Elephas maximus indicus: one gene and its partner. The protein of the gene in region 1 binds, or shares a complex with, the protein of each later gene. Links are inferred from orthologs where the notes say so. Each region holds a gene or a part of one and is shown in the gene's direction. Other genes may lie near its edges.

Evidence for each region. Proteins that work in one complex are often made in the same cells at the same time.
Region 2: the proteins of GSK3B (region 1) and FRAT1 are in contact, whole or in part, in a crystal structure (PDB 5OY4), measured with the Homo sapiens proteins. The link is inferred for Elephas maximus indicus from reciprocal best matches to the Homo sapiens genes GSK3B and FRAT1. Residues at the interface, in NP_001139628.1 of Homo sapiens: Tyr216, Ile228, Phe229, Ser261, Gly262, Val263, Asp264, Leu266, Val267, Ile270, Lys271, Thr275, Pro276, Ile281, Tyr288, Thr289, Glu290, Phe291, Lys292, Phe293, Pro294, Ile296; in NP_005470.2 of Homo sapiens: His200, Leu202, Leu203, Leu206, Val207, Ser209, Gly210, Asn211, Leu212, Ile213, Lys214, Glu215, Ala216, Val217, Arg219, Leu220, His221.

The regions. Positions count from the first base shown.
Region 1 is NC_064819.1:10,595,773-10,602,674, reverse strand, and holds the start of GSK3B (glycogen synthase kinase-3 beta), read left to right. Parts: upstream 1-3,890; 5' UTR 3,891-4,346; coding exon 4,347-4,434; intron 4,435-6,902. UniProt on the Homo sapiens protein: Constitutively active protein kinase that acts as a negative regulator in the hormonal control of glucose homeostasis, Wnt signaling and regulation of transcription factors and microtubules, by phosphorylating and inactivating glycogen synthase (GYS1 or GYS2), EIF2B, CTNNB1/beta-catenin, APC, AXIN1, DPYSL2/CRMP2, JUN, NFATC1/NFATC, MAPT/TAU and MACF1.
Region 2 is NC_064834.1:49,097,297-49,104,902, forward strand, and holds FRAT1 (proto-oncogene FRAT1), read left to right. Parts: upstream 1-4,604; 5' UTR 4,605-4,794; coding exon 4,795-5,604; 3' UTR 5,605-7,120; downstream 7,121-7,606. UniProt on the Homo sapiens protein: Positively regulates the Wnt signaling pathway by stabilizing beta-catenin through the association with GSK-3. May play a role in tumor progression and collaborate with PIM1 and MYC in lymphomagenesis.

The DNA.
Region 1 (6,902 bases):
GTACAGTTTAACTTATAAATATCATTTTGTGGACACTCTCAGTAACCACACAGAATTCGGCTTAGAATTACTTACTGATCTCTACGTGAGACCATCTCATGAGCCCAGGAGCAAACCAAACTGACACTATACTGAGGGCTGTGTTCACATCAGATGCCACAGTAAGAAGGCATAAGGTGATAAAGCAAGACATATGGAGGAATGTGGGGACTCTGTGAGAGAGAAAAGTACGGAGCAGGGCCTAAGAACAGGGGATATGAATCCTAGCTCTGCTACTTCAGCTTTGTGGACCTGAAGCAAGTTAGTAAAGCTTTCTGAAAAGCAGGGTAGGATTGTTATGAAGTTTAAATGAGACAGTATGTGTGAAGCACTTAAGAACAATGCCTAGCACGTTGTAAACGCTCAATAAATATTAACTGTTTACTATTACTATTATAAACTGGTTAGTAGTTGACAGTAGGTGGGAAGGTAACATTGGATTTGAACAGTTCAGGGAAGCAATCACTAAATGTTTGCGTAGTTCTGTATTTCCTCATAAACTTCTCTCTCCAGCTCTAATTCTTAGACTGACATACATACTTTTTTTCCTATAAAATTTCCCTCTCGTTCAGATTTTTGTTTTAACAGCATCAGTTCAAAATATTTGAAGGCAGCAACAGTAAAGCTAAATATAACCTCAAGTTAGGTCATTTTTGTATTACAAAATAATACCCGTGTTTCCAATTTGTGTAACCTAAACATTTCCTATTCACTTTCTTGCTGGTATAAGAGGAAGGCAGGATTTAAAGTGTTGCCTCACAGCATTTTCAGGAGCAGTGACAAAGGCTTTTCCTAATAGCATGGAGAGCCACCAATCAGCTGACAAGCTTGCCATGCACTGAGTTGGCTTTTAATGTTCTTTACCCTCCCCCATGACATCCACTGATCTCATGTTCTCTCTTAATTGCAAAGAACTAGGGCCTCTACTGCTCTGGGGCTACAAAATCTATGCTCTGGTTAAATACTGCAAATTGATTGCCTGTTTGCCACGTCTACCCCAGGATGTTTTTAGTTTGCCCTGCAATGTTTTAAGTATTGGTTGTCAACATTTAAAAATCCAGAGGTTTTACACAAAAATCCAGCTCTTAGTTTAATCTTGGGAAAACAAAAACAACACTGACTATCTCAAAAACACTGAACCAGGTCTTTGAACCTTTTCTGGTTGAAACCTCTGCTGATAATTTGCATTTCTAACAAGTTCCCAGGCGATGCTGATGCTGCTGGTTAGGGACCAATTCTGAGAACCACTTAGCAGAGCAGTGGTTCTTAAAATTTATTATACATTAAGAATCACCAGGGGGTTTTATTAAAATGTAGATTCTAATTCAGTTTATCTGGGATAGAAATGCAAATTCTCAGCAGGGGTTCGAACCTGAACTAACTGGTTGGAAGCCCTGCACTGAACCCACATTCCTGAGGGCAACAATCTGCTAGGGCTGAGGAGCAGCTGCTCATTTTAGTTCCGGCAGGGATACTCCAAGTTGCCATATTCTCTATCATTCGCCATTGTCTTACACCAGGCCAGTTTCACTCATTTGCTTTACTTGTCTAGACTTTTCCTGTCTCCCATCAAAGCTTACTTTGTTCTATCCCAAGTCCTTCATCAGACTTTCCAAGCCAACTGCTAGGCAGTCTGATCAAATGAGTACTTTTACATGTGCTTTCTGGAGACAGCATCTTGAAAGTAGTGAGCCTGTAGGTGGAAATTACAGGTCCCAGGGAATCATAATCAGCATGGCAACTGTCTACTCTACTTTCCCTGCTATCCTGATGTAGCCACACCTCACTGTCCTCTGACAAAAACAAAAAAAACAAAAAAAAAACCTGGCTCTCCAGTAGAGCAATGAAGGCTGGACAATGTGTGAAATCTACTCAAATAGTGCTTTTATAGACGACCCTGGTTCCGGAGGACCCAAAGGCACTCAGGGCTATGCTGACTCCGCTTCCTTAGAGATCTCAGGATATCCGGCCTGACGGCATCTCCCCTCACCTGCTTTTGGCCCCTTCTGCACCGGGCAGTGGCGCCCAAGGAGTGCGCGCATCCAGAATGAGCTCATTTCTTAGGGGCGTTTCCAGAAGGCCCAGCTGGGCCGTGCGCATGAGGCGTAGTCAGCCTCGCGCTGTCAATGGTCCCCGCGGCCGGGCGGGGCGCGGCTGCCCGGGGGCGCTGCTTTTCTGGAAGCTTTGTCCCCACTTTCGTGTCTGAGAAATCGCAGCCGGCCGGAGGGGTCCCTTGGGGCCTCCTGGGGAAGACGCAGGTCCTCGGGACGCGCGATCTCAGGCTGAAGGATGGCTCGGGCGCAGAGACTTAGCCGCACCCCGCCGAGAGCCTCCAGGGAGTGCGGAGAGCCCCCGACCCTTCGCTGGCTTAAGCACTAGCAGAGCCCAGCTCCGCCGACCACGGGTTTGGGACAGGCTGCGCGAAGCGGGTGCGCGGAAAGCCCGCGCTCCCTGTCTGCGGCTTTCCTACGGGTTGGGAGCAGCCGCCAGCGAGTAGGCGACACCGCCCGCCACGACCCCAGACGAGCTCCTAGCGCCTGGGGCCGCCGCCGTAGGTTGTAGGCCAATCACACTGCAGCTAGGTCTTGCGATAGGAGAGCCGTCAGTGCCGATTGGCTATCGCAACGAGTTTCGGCCTCCCTCCCATTCCCTCCGCTCTAAAGCTTCAAGCCAATAAGAAGGCGCTTTATAAACGTCCTCCCTTAGCTTTCTTCTTCTCCCCCCCTCGGCTAGGGAAGAGCAGTTCTGATTGGTTAGACTCTCCTCGGATGCCCCCTTTCCTCCTCCAATCACCGAGTGAGGGACACGCCCAGCAGAGTTTTTCAGCCAATTACAAAGCGGCCGCGGCTCTCAGCAGTACAGTTTCACCTGGAACTCTGGGTTTCACCGACCTTAACTCTTCATGCTTTTTCCAGAGAGACGGCGGCTCTGATTGGCTACTGTTGCCGCCGTCGAATTTCTCCTTCAGCCAGCCACAAAACAAGGCGAATCCCCCTTGCTCCCGTTCGGTTATCCTCGGCATTTTCCGCTCCTCGGGCGTGGATTTCCGGCGGCACTCTCCAATTGGCTCTTCAGGTCGATCGGCTTTTTCCGGGAGGAGCCGCAAACAAACGACGCCCGTGATTGGCCCCGCTCGGGCTTCGGCTCCCCAGCCGAAGGGGGCGGGCGCGGGGCTCGGCCGGCGATTCCCAGACGCCTGTTACGCGGGCGGCGGGGCGCTGGGCGGTGTAAGGCTGGGTGGGGGAGGAAGGAGGCGGAGGACGAGCAGCAGGGGGGAGGGGGTGCGGCGAGGAGCTAGGCGACTGCGCAGACGGCTCGCCTCACACAGAGCAGCCCCCGAGCCGGGCGAATGCGGGCTTGTGCCGCCGCCGCAGCCCGGGCCGAGTGACAAAGGAAGGAAGGAAGGAAGGAAGCGAGGAGGAGCCGGCCCGCAGCCGCTGACAGTGCTCCGGGCTGGGGCCGCAGCGCGGACGCTTCCTGAGCGGACGCCGAGCCGAGGCGAGGGCCGGGAGGGCGGCCGCGCTGGGGCCGCGGACGGGGAGGGGGCCCCGAGGGACGGAAGCGGCGGCCGCGTTCCCATGTCCCCCGCGTATGGGGAGCAGCCGAGGAGCCGCTGCCTGGGGTCTGAAGGGAGCTGCCTCCGCCGCCGCCGCCGCCATGGCCGCTGGATCCAGCCGCCGCCTGCAGCTGCTCCTGGCGCAATGAGGAGGGGAGCCGCCAGCGCCGCCGCCGCCGCCCGCGTCTGAGCACCTCGCCCTCGGCCGCCGCCGCCGCCGCCGCCGCCGCCGCCGGGCCCGTCTCCAGGCCGCCGGGGCCGCAGCGCTTCCCGTGGCCTCGCCGAGCCACCCCCTCCCCCTGCTCCCCTCCCCCCGCGGCCGGCGGGAGACTCGTGATCCTTCCGCCGCTTCCCTTCTTCATTGACTCGGAAAAAAAATCCCCGAGGAAAAGACAATCTTCACAGGACTTATTTTCAATCAAGTATTTGCCCTGCTGCACGTGATAGGTATTTTTTAGGAGCTTTCTTTTTTCCTCCCCGCCTCCTCCCTGAAAGGGAGGGAGAAGAATTGTATTTTTTTCACCCAAATCATCTATATGTTAAATATCTATACCGATCTGTCTTGAAGGAGAAATCCATCTTTTTTTTTTTTTTGATAATATAAAAGGAGTGCAAAGCCAAGAGGACGAAGTCTTTTTCTTTTTCCCGGGGAGAACTTAATGCTGCATTTATCATTAACCTAACACCCCAACATAAAACAATAGGAAGACAAGAGGAAGGAAGGAAAAGGTGATTCGGGAAGAGAGTGATCATGTCAGGGCGGCCCAGAACCACCTCCTTTGCGGAGAGCTGCAAGCCAGTGCAGCAGCCTTCGGCTTTTGGCAGCATGAAAGTTAGCAGTGAGTATTGATTTTAATTTACAACCCTTTCTCCACGTCGCCCTTAAAATAAGAAACCTTGAAATAGGATTTTAAGGGACTAGACTTGGTAAGAGGCAACCTGGTAATGGAAAAGGATAGAACCTGTCTTCAGTCTAGGATGAGGCAGCTCCCTCTTTTCTCCTCCCAAACCCCTCCCCCGGTCTTATTAACCTTGAATGACAGAATGGGATTTTTTACTTGGATCATTCGATTTGAAACACTGCTTATACTTTTCTTGGCTGTTGTTAGTCCGCTTCACCAAGTGCTTGAGTGTTTGCTCGTTAAAACAGTGATGGAAAGTGTTTACTTGTTCATCCTTTTGAATAAAGAGAAGGACAGGACTTGATTCGTAAACCATTATGCACATTTGCAGAGTGGATGTCTTTTGGCGCATTTTAGTTAGCGCAGCTCTCAGGGGTCATCATAGTTTTGCATACTTAATGGAGACACTAAAAGTCCCAATCTCCTAACCTTTTTTTTCTTGCCTGTGCGACTATACAGAGTATTTGTTCTCCGCCCTGCGGGCTGAACTTACTCAGTGACCAGCGGTCACGTTTGGAGGCAGCCTTGGTTCCTCCTCTGGAAGGGGCCCGGGGAGCCCACAGATGGGAGCACCCCTGCTCGCATTGTCTTCAGTTGTTTAAGTGGTTGAATGTGCTATCGTTAATTTTTCCGTTTTGACACATTCGCAGTTCGCCACTGTATAATTTATGTTTCATCAGAAGGCAACTTGGAAGTAGGTCCCAGTTTCGACTGAGGTTTGTAGTAAACCGAATTGCCAAATAACTGTCACTGACGCATTGCTATCTAAGTTCGCGTTCCCAAAATTGAATTGCATTTGTTACTTGTTCCAGGGGGTCCCTTTTTAGGGCTATTTAAGATACTCTTTCAGTGGTTTCCTCACATTTAGATAATACGGACTTAGTTATAAGACTATCGATTTAGCCCTTCCGTCATAACTTTTGCAGAATGCTGTGGTCCTGGATGTAAGAGGACTATTTGGGCTGTGTTCAGAGTTGTCGCCAGGCTGTATGTACTCTCGTGCCTGGTTTGTGCAGAAAAGTTGAGGTTCTTGAAGTCGTTGCTTTAAGGAATATAACATTGTTCCAATGTATCAGAGTTTGTGGAGATGTTTATTGTATCTTTGATAATGGTGTCTAATGACAACTTATTTAAATACACTTACAGAATTTGATAAGCATGTGTAGGTGGTTTTCTTTATTCCTGAACAAAAGGGATACGCTGAGGGCAAAGGCAAACCATCTTGTTGCTTAGAGGAACTGAGAGAACTGAAGAAGTGAGATATTAAAAGTACATGCTGGCTTGTGAAATTGACTATATCCTTAAGCAACATAAAATGATCGCTTTTAATTGAATTCAAAATTTCAAATCATGTTGGCTTTTGGAACTTGCCTGAAACAGGGTAGGCCAAGGTAATAGCTGAATGGGAGATTTTTTTTGAAAGTTAATTTTTTTCCCCCCTAGTGACTAGCTAATAGAGAATGCAGTGACTAGTAGAGAAGAGGGAAGCTGATGCATCTTTCAGGGAAGGGTCAAGCTTTCTAGGCATTTCATGGGGTCATTTGAAAGGAATATTTAAAAATTCTGGCGTAATTTTCAGCTATGATGAAGCAAATCTTATAATAGCTGCCTAAGAGCCTCTTGTGGTACTGGAGTGTTTGTACGTTTTACATCTTGGTAACATAGTTTAAAAACCACTTGAGATCAATTTTAGGTAATTAACTCATTAGATTTATTTCAGAGAGCAAAATAAAATATCCTATAATGCTAAGCTTTTGGGCTTTTCGTTTCGTTTCCAGGATTTTCTTTGCTTTCCTAATTCTTGGTATTGTGATGTTGACTGAGGATGGAGTAGCTTTTATAAAGTATGTAAAGTGTGTGATTTTCTGTTATTGTATAGGTCAACTAAACATTTAAAAATTAGGAGTTTAATGCTAATTATGTGTTTTTGATAACTTTGACTCTAAGGACATTTTAGAAGAAAGAGGAGTTAAGCATTTTCTGAGTGCTAGCGTTCTAAGGAACTTCTGTTCAAAAGAGAGATACGTAAGACATTGTGGTCCTTAGACTCAAGAGCTTCTGAGAAAGAAGATGAAAACAATAGCGTGATGACTGCAAGATGATAAAAGATAAGTCCCATCCTTTGTTCTGAGGGACAAAGAGTTGAGGGGTGAGGCTGATGGGTTGGAGAGGGAAGACATCCTGTGGAAGGTGCTTTTGAAGACTGGTGTTAAAGGAGGCAGTAACTTGAATTGATAGCGAAGCCTGAGGGATTCTAGGTGGAAGGAATGGACCGAGGCTCAGGCGGTGATTTTTGTATGGGAGACAGCAAGGAAGTTGGCAAATCTGAATTAAAGAGGACTAAGTATGTTTTTTTAAGTAAGAAAATAGGAAGCGCTGGAAGTTGAGAAATATAGGAAGGCTAG
Region 2 (7,606 bases), on another chromosome or scaffold:
TTTGGTCTTCCTCATTCACTGTCCCGCTTTCACACGTATATGATGTGATTGAAAATACCACGGCTTGGGTCAGGCGCACCTTAGTCTTCAAGGTGGCATCTTTGCTCTTCGACACTTTAAAGAGGTCCTTTGTAGCAGATTTACCCAATGCAACGCATCTTTTGATTTCTTGACTGCTGCTTCCATGGCCGTTGATTGTGGATCCAAGTAAAATGAAATCCTTGACAACTTCAATCTTTTCTCCGTTTATCATGATGTTGCTCATTGGTCCAGTTGTGAGGATTTTTGTTTTCTTTATGTTGAGGTGCAATCCATACTGAAGGCTGTGGTCTTTGATCTTCATTAGTAATTGCTTCAAGTCCTCTTCACTTTCAGCCAGCAAGGTTGTGTCATCTGCGTAACGCAGGTTGTTAATAAGTCTTCCTCCAATCCTGATGCGCCATTCTTCTTCATATAGTCCATCTTCTCAGATTATTTGCTCAGCCTACAGATCGAGTAGGTATGGTGAAAGAATACAACCCTGACACACACCTTTCCTGACTTTAAACCCATCAGTATCCCCTTGTTCCGTTTGAACTGCCTCTGGATCTATGTAAAGGTTCTTCATGAGCACAATTAAGTGTTCTGGAATTCCCATTCTTCACAATTTATCCATAATTTGTTATGATCCACACAGTCGAATGTCTTTGCATAGTCAATAAAACACAGGTAAACATCCTTCTCATATTCTCTGCTTTCAGCCAGGATCCATCTGACATCAGCAATGATATCCCTGGTTCCACGTCCTCCTCTGAAACCGGCCTGAATTTCTGGCAGTTCCCTGTCGATATACTGCTGCAGCCGTTTTTGAATGCTCTTCAGCAAAATTTTGCTTGCGTGTGATATTAATGATATTGTTCTATAATTTCCACATTCGGCTGGATCACCTTTGTTGGGAAACGGTAGCTTTCGGGACCCCACAATCTGTAAAACAATGCTCTACCCAGAATGAAATTCCAAAAAGAAGTTTGTCAAAAGTAAAAGATTCAGATTGATTCATGTGATGATTTTCTTTATATAATATTTTATTGTGTTTTTGGTGAATGTTTACACAGCAAATTAGGTTCCCACTTAACAATTTCTATATAAATTGCTCAGTGACATTGGTTACATTTTTCACAAAACCAACCAAACCAAACCCAGTGCTGTCAAGTTGATTCCGACTCATAGCAACCCTATAGGACAGAGTAGAACTGCCCCATAGGGTTTCCAAGAAAAGCCTGGCAGATTCGAACTGCCGACCCTTTGGTTAGCAGCTGTAGCACTTAACCACTAGGCCACCAGGGTTTCCCATTTTTCATAGTGTATCGAAATTATCATTATTTCCATTCTGGTTATTCTGTTTCCATTAATCAAATTTCCCTGCCCCCCTCTCCTTACCTTCTCATCTTTCTTTAGAGTATATGTTGACAAGTTTGGTCTCACACAGATGATTTTTCAAAGGAGCACAGTACTCACAGGTGATACTGTTTATTTTATAAGCTGTCATGGATTAGGAAACCCTGGTGGCATAGTGGTCAAGTACTACAGCTGCTAACCAAACGGTCGCCAGTTCGAATCCTCCAGGCGCTCCTTGGAAACTCTATGGGGCAGTTCTACTCTGTCCTATAGAGTCGCAGTGAGTTGGAATCAACACCACGGCACTGGGTTTTTTGGGTAATGGGTTGAATTATGTCCCCCCAAAAATGTGAGTATCAACTTGGTTAGGCCATGATTCCCAGTATTGTGTGGTTGTCCTCCATTTTGTGATTCTAATTTTATGTTGAGAGGATCAGGGTAGGATTGTAACACCACTCTTATTCAGGTCACCTCTCTGATCCAATGTAAAGGGAGTTTCCCTGGGATGTGGCCTGCACCACATTTTGGAGATTAAACGAAAGAGAAGCAACCAGAGTTGAGGACCTCATACCACTAAGAAAGCCTTCCCCTGGAGCTGACGCCCTGAATTTGGACTTGTAACCTACTAGGCTGTGAGAAAATGAATTTCTTTTTGTTAAAGCCATCCACTTGTGGTATTTCTGTTATGGCAGCGCTAGATGACTAAGGCAGCAGTCATACCATTTTCAACCCCAGAAAAACGCTTGAAGCTTATAAATCCTGAACCAAAGAATAAAAACAGAGATTAGAAACTGCTCCTATTTATTTTCATCTTAAAATTTTAAAGAATCAGGTTCAGAATAGTATAGCTAATAAATGGCTGCTTTGACCACATTCTCAAATGAACAATTTAAAATAAGTTGTTGGTCTTTTCACGATAAAAACACTCGAAAAATCAGGAATGGAAGGAAACATTTACAACCTAATAAAGGTCACCCATTCCAAAGAAACACGATTCAACAGAACGCAGAAATTATCAAGCAATATCATGCACAAGTAAAATTTTGCTGAAGATCGTTCAAAAAGGGCTGCAGCACTATATAAACAGGGAACTGCCAGAAATTTGCCAGGATTCACAAGAGTACATGGAACAAGGGATATCATTGCTGATGTCAGATGAATACTGGCCGAAAGCAGAGAATACCAGAAAGATGTTTACCTGTGTTTTATTGACTATGCAAAGACATATGACTGTGTGGATCATAGCAAATTATGGGCAACACTGTGAAGAATGGGAATTCCAGAACGCTTAATTGTGCTCATGTGGAACCTGTGCATAGACCAAGAGGCAGTCTTTCAAACAGAACAAGCTGAATACTGCCTGGTTTAAAACCAGGAACAGTATGAAAGTGTTGTATCCTTTCACCGCACTTATTCAATCTGTATGTTGAGCAGATAATCTGAGAAGCTAGACTATGTGAAAAAGAACAGGGCATCCCGTTTGGAGAAAGACTCATTAACAAACTGAAATACGCAAATGACACAACCTTGTTTACTGAAAGTGAAGAGGACATGAAGCACTTACTGATGAAGATCAAAGACCACAGCCTTCAGCATGGATTCCGCCTCAACATAAAGAAAACAAAAATCCTCACAACTGGACCAATGAGCAACATCATGATAAATGGAGAAAATACTGAAGTTGTCCAGGATTTCATTCCATTCCACCACTTCCTAAAGGATTATTACTCTAAGTGTCATCCTCAGCACCACTCACCAATACCCTCGATTTCTACTTGTTATCTGGATCCCTGGCCCCCAATCTTTCCCTCTTGCATCCCCTTTCTAAAGCATCCCCCTCTGTTATCGATAAAGTAACAAGCACCCTGTTGCTTTGCACAGAGTCCGAACTCTCCTTGTTGGATTCTGTGTGTTTGTGGGTGTGTGCTTTGTGGCTAATTTTTAAAACAACTTTAAAACCAGTTGCTGTTGAGTAGATTCCAATTCACACCGACCCCACGTGTATCAGACAGAACTGTGTTCCGTAGGATTTTCAGTGGCTGATTTTTTGGAAATAGATCTCCAGTCCTTTCTTATGAGATGCCTCTGGGTGGACTCAAACCTCCAACCTTTTGCTTAGCAGCCAAGCAGGCTTCCTAAACAACTTTTCCAAAATGTAATTTATATGCAGTAAAATTCAGTCATCTGAAGAGAACTTTCAATTATTTTTAGTGAATTTACTTAGTGGTGCAGCCATCACCATAATTCAGTTGGTGATGGCCTGGTTGGCTTTTAAAGGCAGGTCCACCAAAAGCTTACCTATAAATGCAGTGTCTGAAAGTTAGGCCTGGAGGGCTTGGAATTTTGAATAACAGTCCAAAATCCCCAAGCAACATGACACTAAAGGATCATTTTCTGCTCCTTTGGTTAAAAATGAAGTCTTGGTTTACCACTAAGCCAACCATAATATCTACAAAGGTTAAGCTAACCCACATCTCCATTTTTAACCAAACAGCTTTCCATTTTCCCCTCCTGCTAGCACCTCAGCAGGGATCCTCCCTACTGGGCTGCGGAATTTTTCTTAAAAGAAGCCTTTCTAGCTCACGGCCCCCCCCAAGCCCGTCAACCTTCTCCTCTGTCTTCAGCAACTCCAGCCCTAGTCCAGGCCCCCCACGCCCATCCGCCTGATCAAGAAACACTAATCACCTTAATGTGTGGCCTGTCTTTGCCAATTCCAACTCCGCCATTACCACTTGCACCGAAGTGTCCCTTCCTACCTTCCATCCCAGTCAGCCTTGTTTTCCTAACCTCTAGCCAGGCCCTCTGCCTGGCTCCCCCACCTCTCCATCTTTGCCTCTCCAGCACTTCTCGTCATCACTCTCCAAGCACCAGCACCCAGGATCACGAAAGCGCGAAGGTTAAAACAATATTTGTCGCGCCGAGAGAAGGGGTGTGTGTTGGTGTGTGTCTAAGTGTATGTGCTTGTGTGTGGAAGAAACCAATGGTGTCCGCGTCGGTGTCCAACTTCTGGAAATGCCTATCACTGCTGGCTAAGAAAGCCAGGATCAGCTCCCCAGTGCACTCCCGCACACCGCACTCGGCCATCCTGAGCTCAGAGGCAGCAGGGCTTCAACCTGAACCCCAGACCTGCAGGACCCCTGCCCTCGAATGACACACCACCCCCAGTCCCCGCGCTGTGGTAGGGCCGGGCGCTACGTCACCCATTGTTTACAAATCTAACAGCGGGTAGAATTCTGGCTCCCGCGACTGCAGGCGCGCAGCGAGCGCCTGGCGGGCTCCGGCTTCCTAGTCCTCCGCATCCCCGGCCCTGGCTTTGGCGTCAGGATCACTCCCGGCTCTGCTGCGGCCCACCGAACCCTAACGGGAGCCGGGCCGCCGACGACGCCTGCAGAGCTCCGGGTGCCCGGGCCGGGGGCCATGCCGTGCCGCAGGGAGGAAGAAGAGAAAGCCGGCGAGGAAGCGGAGGGGGAGGAAAAAGAGCAGGAGGATAGCTTTCTCCTGCTGGAGCAGCCAGCGAGGCTGGGCGGATCGGCCGAGGTGGACCGGCTAGTGGCCCAGATAGGCGAGGCGCTGCAGCTGGACCCGGCGCAGGACAGCCCGGCCTCCTTGTGCGCACCGCCGTGGCAGCCGCTGCAGCCACCGCTGCCCCTGGCTGAGGTGCCGGCGTACAGGGCCCGGCCCCCGGCGCTGCCGCTGCATCTGCCGCCCTCATCGGTCGAGGCCACGAACCTAGGAGCCCTGTATAGCACCTTCGGGGACTGCGGCAGCGTGCGGGACTGGGCTGCGCCCTACTTAGTGGCCGAGTTTGCCGCCGGCCCCACGGCGCTGTCACTACTACCCCCTCAGCCCGGCTTTGAAGGAACTCCCGGATCCGGCAAGCCGGGCGCCTCGCGGCAGCTGTCCGGGCGGTGCCGGCGAGGATGGCTCCGGGGTGCAGCCGCCTCCCGCCGTCTACGACAGCGACTCGGGCCCCGGGCCAAAGGCCGCACCAGCGACGACGACTCTCACCGTCTCCTGCAGCAGCTCCTACTCTCGGGAAACCTCATCAAGGAGGCAGTGCGGAGGCTTCGCTCGCGACGGCTGCATTTATATGCAAAGCTTCCCCAACGCCGGCTCCCGGGACCTGTGCTCCCCCGCAGCTCTCGCGCAGCCTGTAGTGACCCTGGCGCGTCCAGGAGGAGCGCGCCGCTCAGAACTGCAGACAGAGTTCTTGTCCCCAGCAGCTAACAAGCCCAGGGTACCCACAGCGCCAGCCTCAGACTAGGCGTCGGGGGTACCCACGGGACTGCAGCCCTGCTCGAGACTAACGGAGAACTCGCGCCTTTGAAAGCAGAAAATATAAGCTAATGAAGACGAGGAATAGGAAAATCGCGAAGGTTTCCGCGGGGAGCTGGGGACAAGCGCCCCTCTCTTTGAAATACAGGTCTTGGCCCTATTCAAGGCAGATTACATTTCGCAACCCCAGTCCTAATAAGACACGTACTGGTGGCGCAGCGTGCAGTTCCTTGCAGCTAGCTTCTCAGGGCCCTACAGCCTGGTGGCCATGTGACTACAGTCCACCCTACTCAGGACAGCAGAGCTCGGGAAGGACGCTGTCCAGGACCGGGGCCCGGACGCCCTCGTCGCGAGTCCAGCGGCCTCACTGGGCTCAGGCTGGAGGGCGATCCCAGTTACTTGATCAACCGTTTCAGGGCTGGTCCCTGATCCATTTTGAGGGAGGGAAACACAAATAGACATTGATAATTCCAGGGAGCACCTCAAACTGCCAGGCCTGAAATTTTACATTTAAAAAAGGACCTCATGTCTTTTGAAGTGCTCTTTCTTAATATAAAACGCACGTACCATGAAAGGAACCTTTGAGGGTTGAATAGGAGTAGCCTTTTTCTCTGCCCCTTCTTTGGGGCCGGCTGCTGTTTTCAGAGCCGTCGGGGAAGGCTGTACTCCTAGCCTGGGGACAGGAGAGTAGGACCCGGACAGGAGGTGTTGGGTGGTGGAAAGGTAGAGTGAGGCGGGGAGTGACCCGTCGGTCCTCTCTAAAGTGGCTTTTAACAGCCGCCCCGCCCCTCCTCCGGGTCAAGGTCAGTTTTCTGGTCGCACATAGCGGTGCCAGGCTCCAGCAGGGTAGAAGAGTCGCCGGGCTCTGCCTATACTCCGAGAAGTGCGCGGTGTTTTGCAATTGCTGGAGTCTCCTGAGGACACGCGCGCCGCCGCCACCGCGGGTGTGGAGAGGCTGGGCTGTGCCCGGAGCCTGTGCTTCCCACTGACGGCTGCCGCCCCTGGCCACGCTCTGGGCTGTCACGGACACTGTCCTGAGACGTGGCCCCAGATCCCACCTCTGTCCCTCGGCTCTCCTCTCCTACTCAAGCGGGTGGCGCGGGCGTTCCTGGGGGCCCGGGCTGGGGGCTGGGGAGACGCCACGTGACAGGCACTCCAGGGACAGCCTCTCACTGCAGCTTATAATGGGCTCTCCGGGGCTTTTTGCAATAACAGCTGCAATTTCCTGGATAGGAGTTGATTTCCTCCCTCTACCCCACCGCCAGCCATGCCCACTCGCCTTTGTAAGTGAAGTAAACCGAGTAGAAAATGCTACTCTCCAAATGGAGAAGCAGCAGGCTTTGCCTTTGTGAACCGTGGTGAAGTGCTTGGAGCACGCTGCGCACTCACTCCAAGGGAGCTAAAACCTTCTAGTTCTTGCTTTAGCTTTGTAGGAGTCAATGGCTTGTCCATCATCTGGATGTGGCTATCTACACTTGGCACTGGAGTGTCTGGAATTGTGGCTATCCTCATTATAGGATTTTATCTTAAATACGTTTTGAATAAATGTGTTGGGTTTTTGCTTGGTTTTATCCTTCCGCTCAGTGGAAAAGATGTACAGAACACATTTCTCTGATCTCCATAAACATGAAAACACCTGAAATCCCTGTCAGCCTGGCTTTGAGATGGTAATTACAGCGTCTTTGTGACTGAGGATCTCACTAGTTAGACAAGGTCTGTGCTGGGTGTGTATTGGTCCTGGCATGAAATTCAATGAAAGTGAGGTCAGGCTTTGGACCAATCCCATTCACCCAAACCTCAGAGCCATTTGGATTACTGTTTAGTAATGGAGATGATTTATGATTTTTTTTTTTCTGACTATGTTAGCAAGGGACATCAGATCAGTCATCGCAGACTGGGAAACATATCGTTTTTTTCTTACTAGTGCAGTCATTAAAGGATTCCCTGGGTGGTG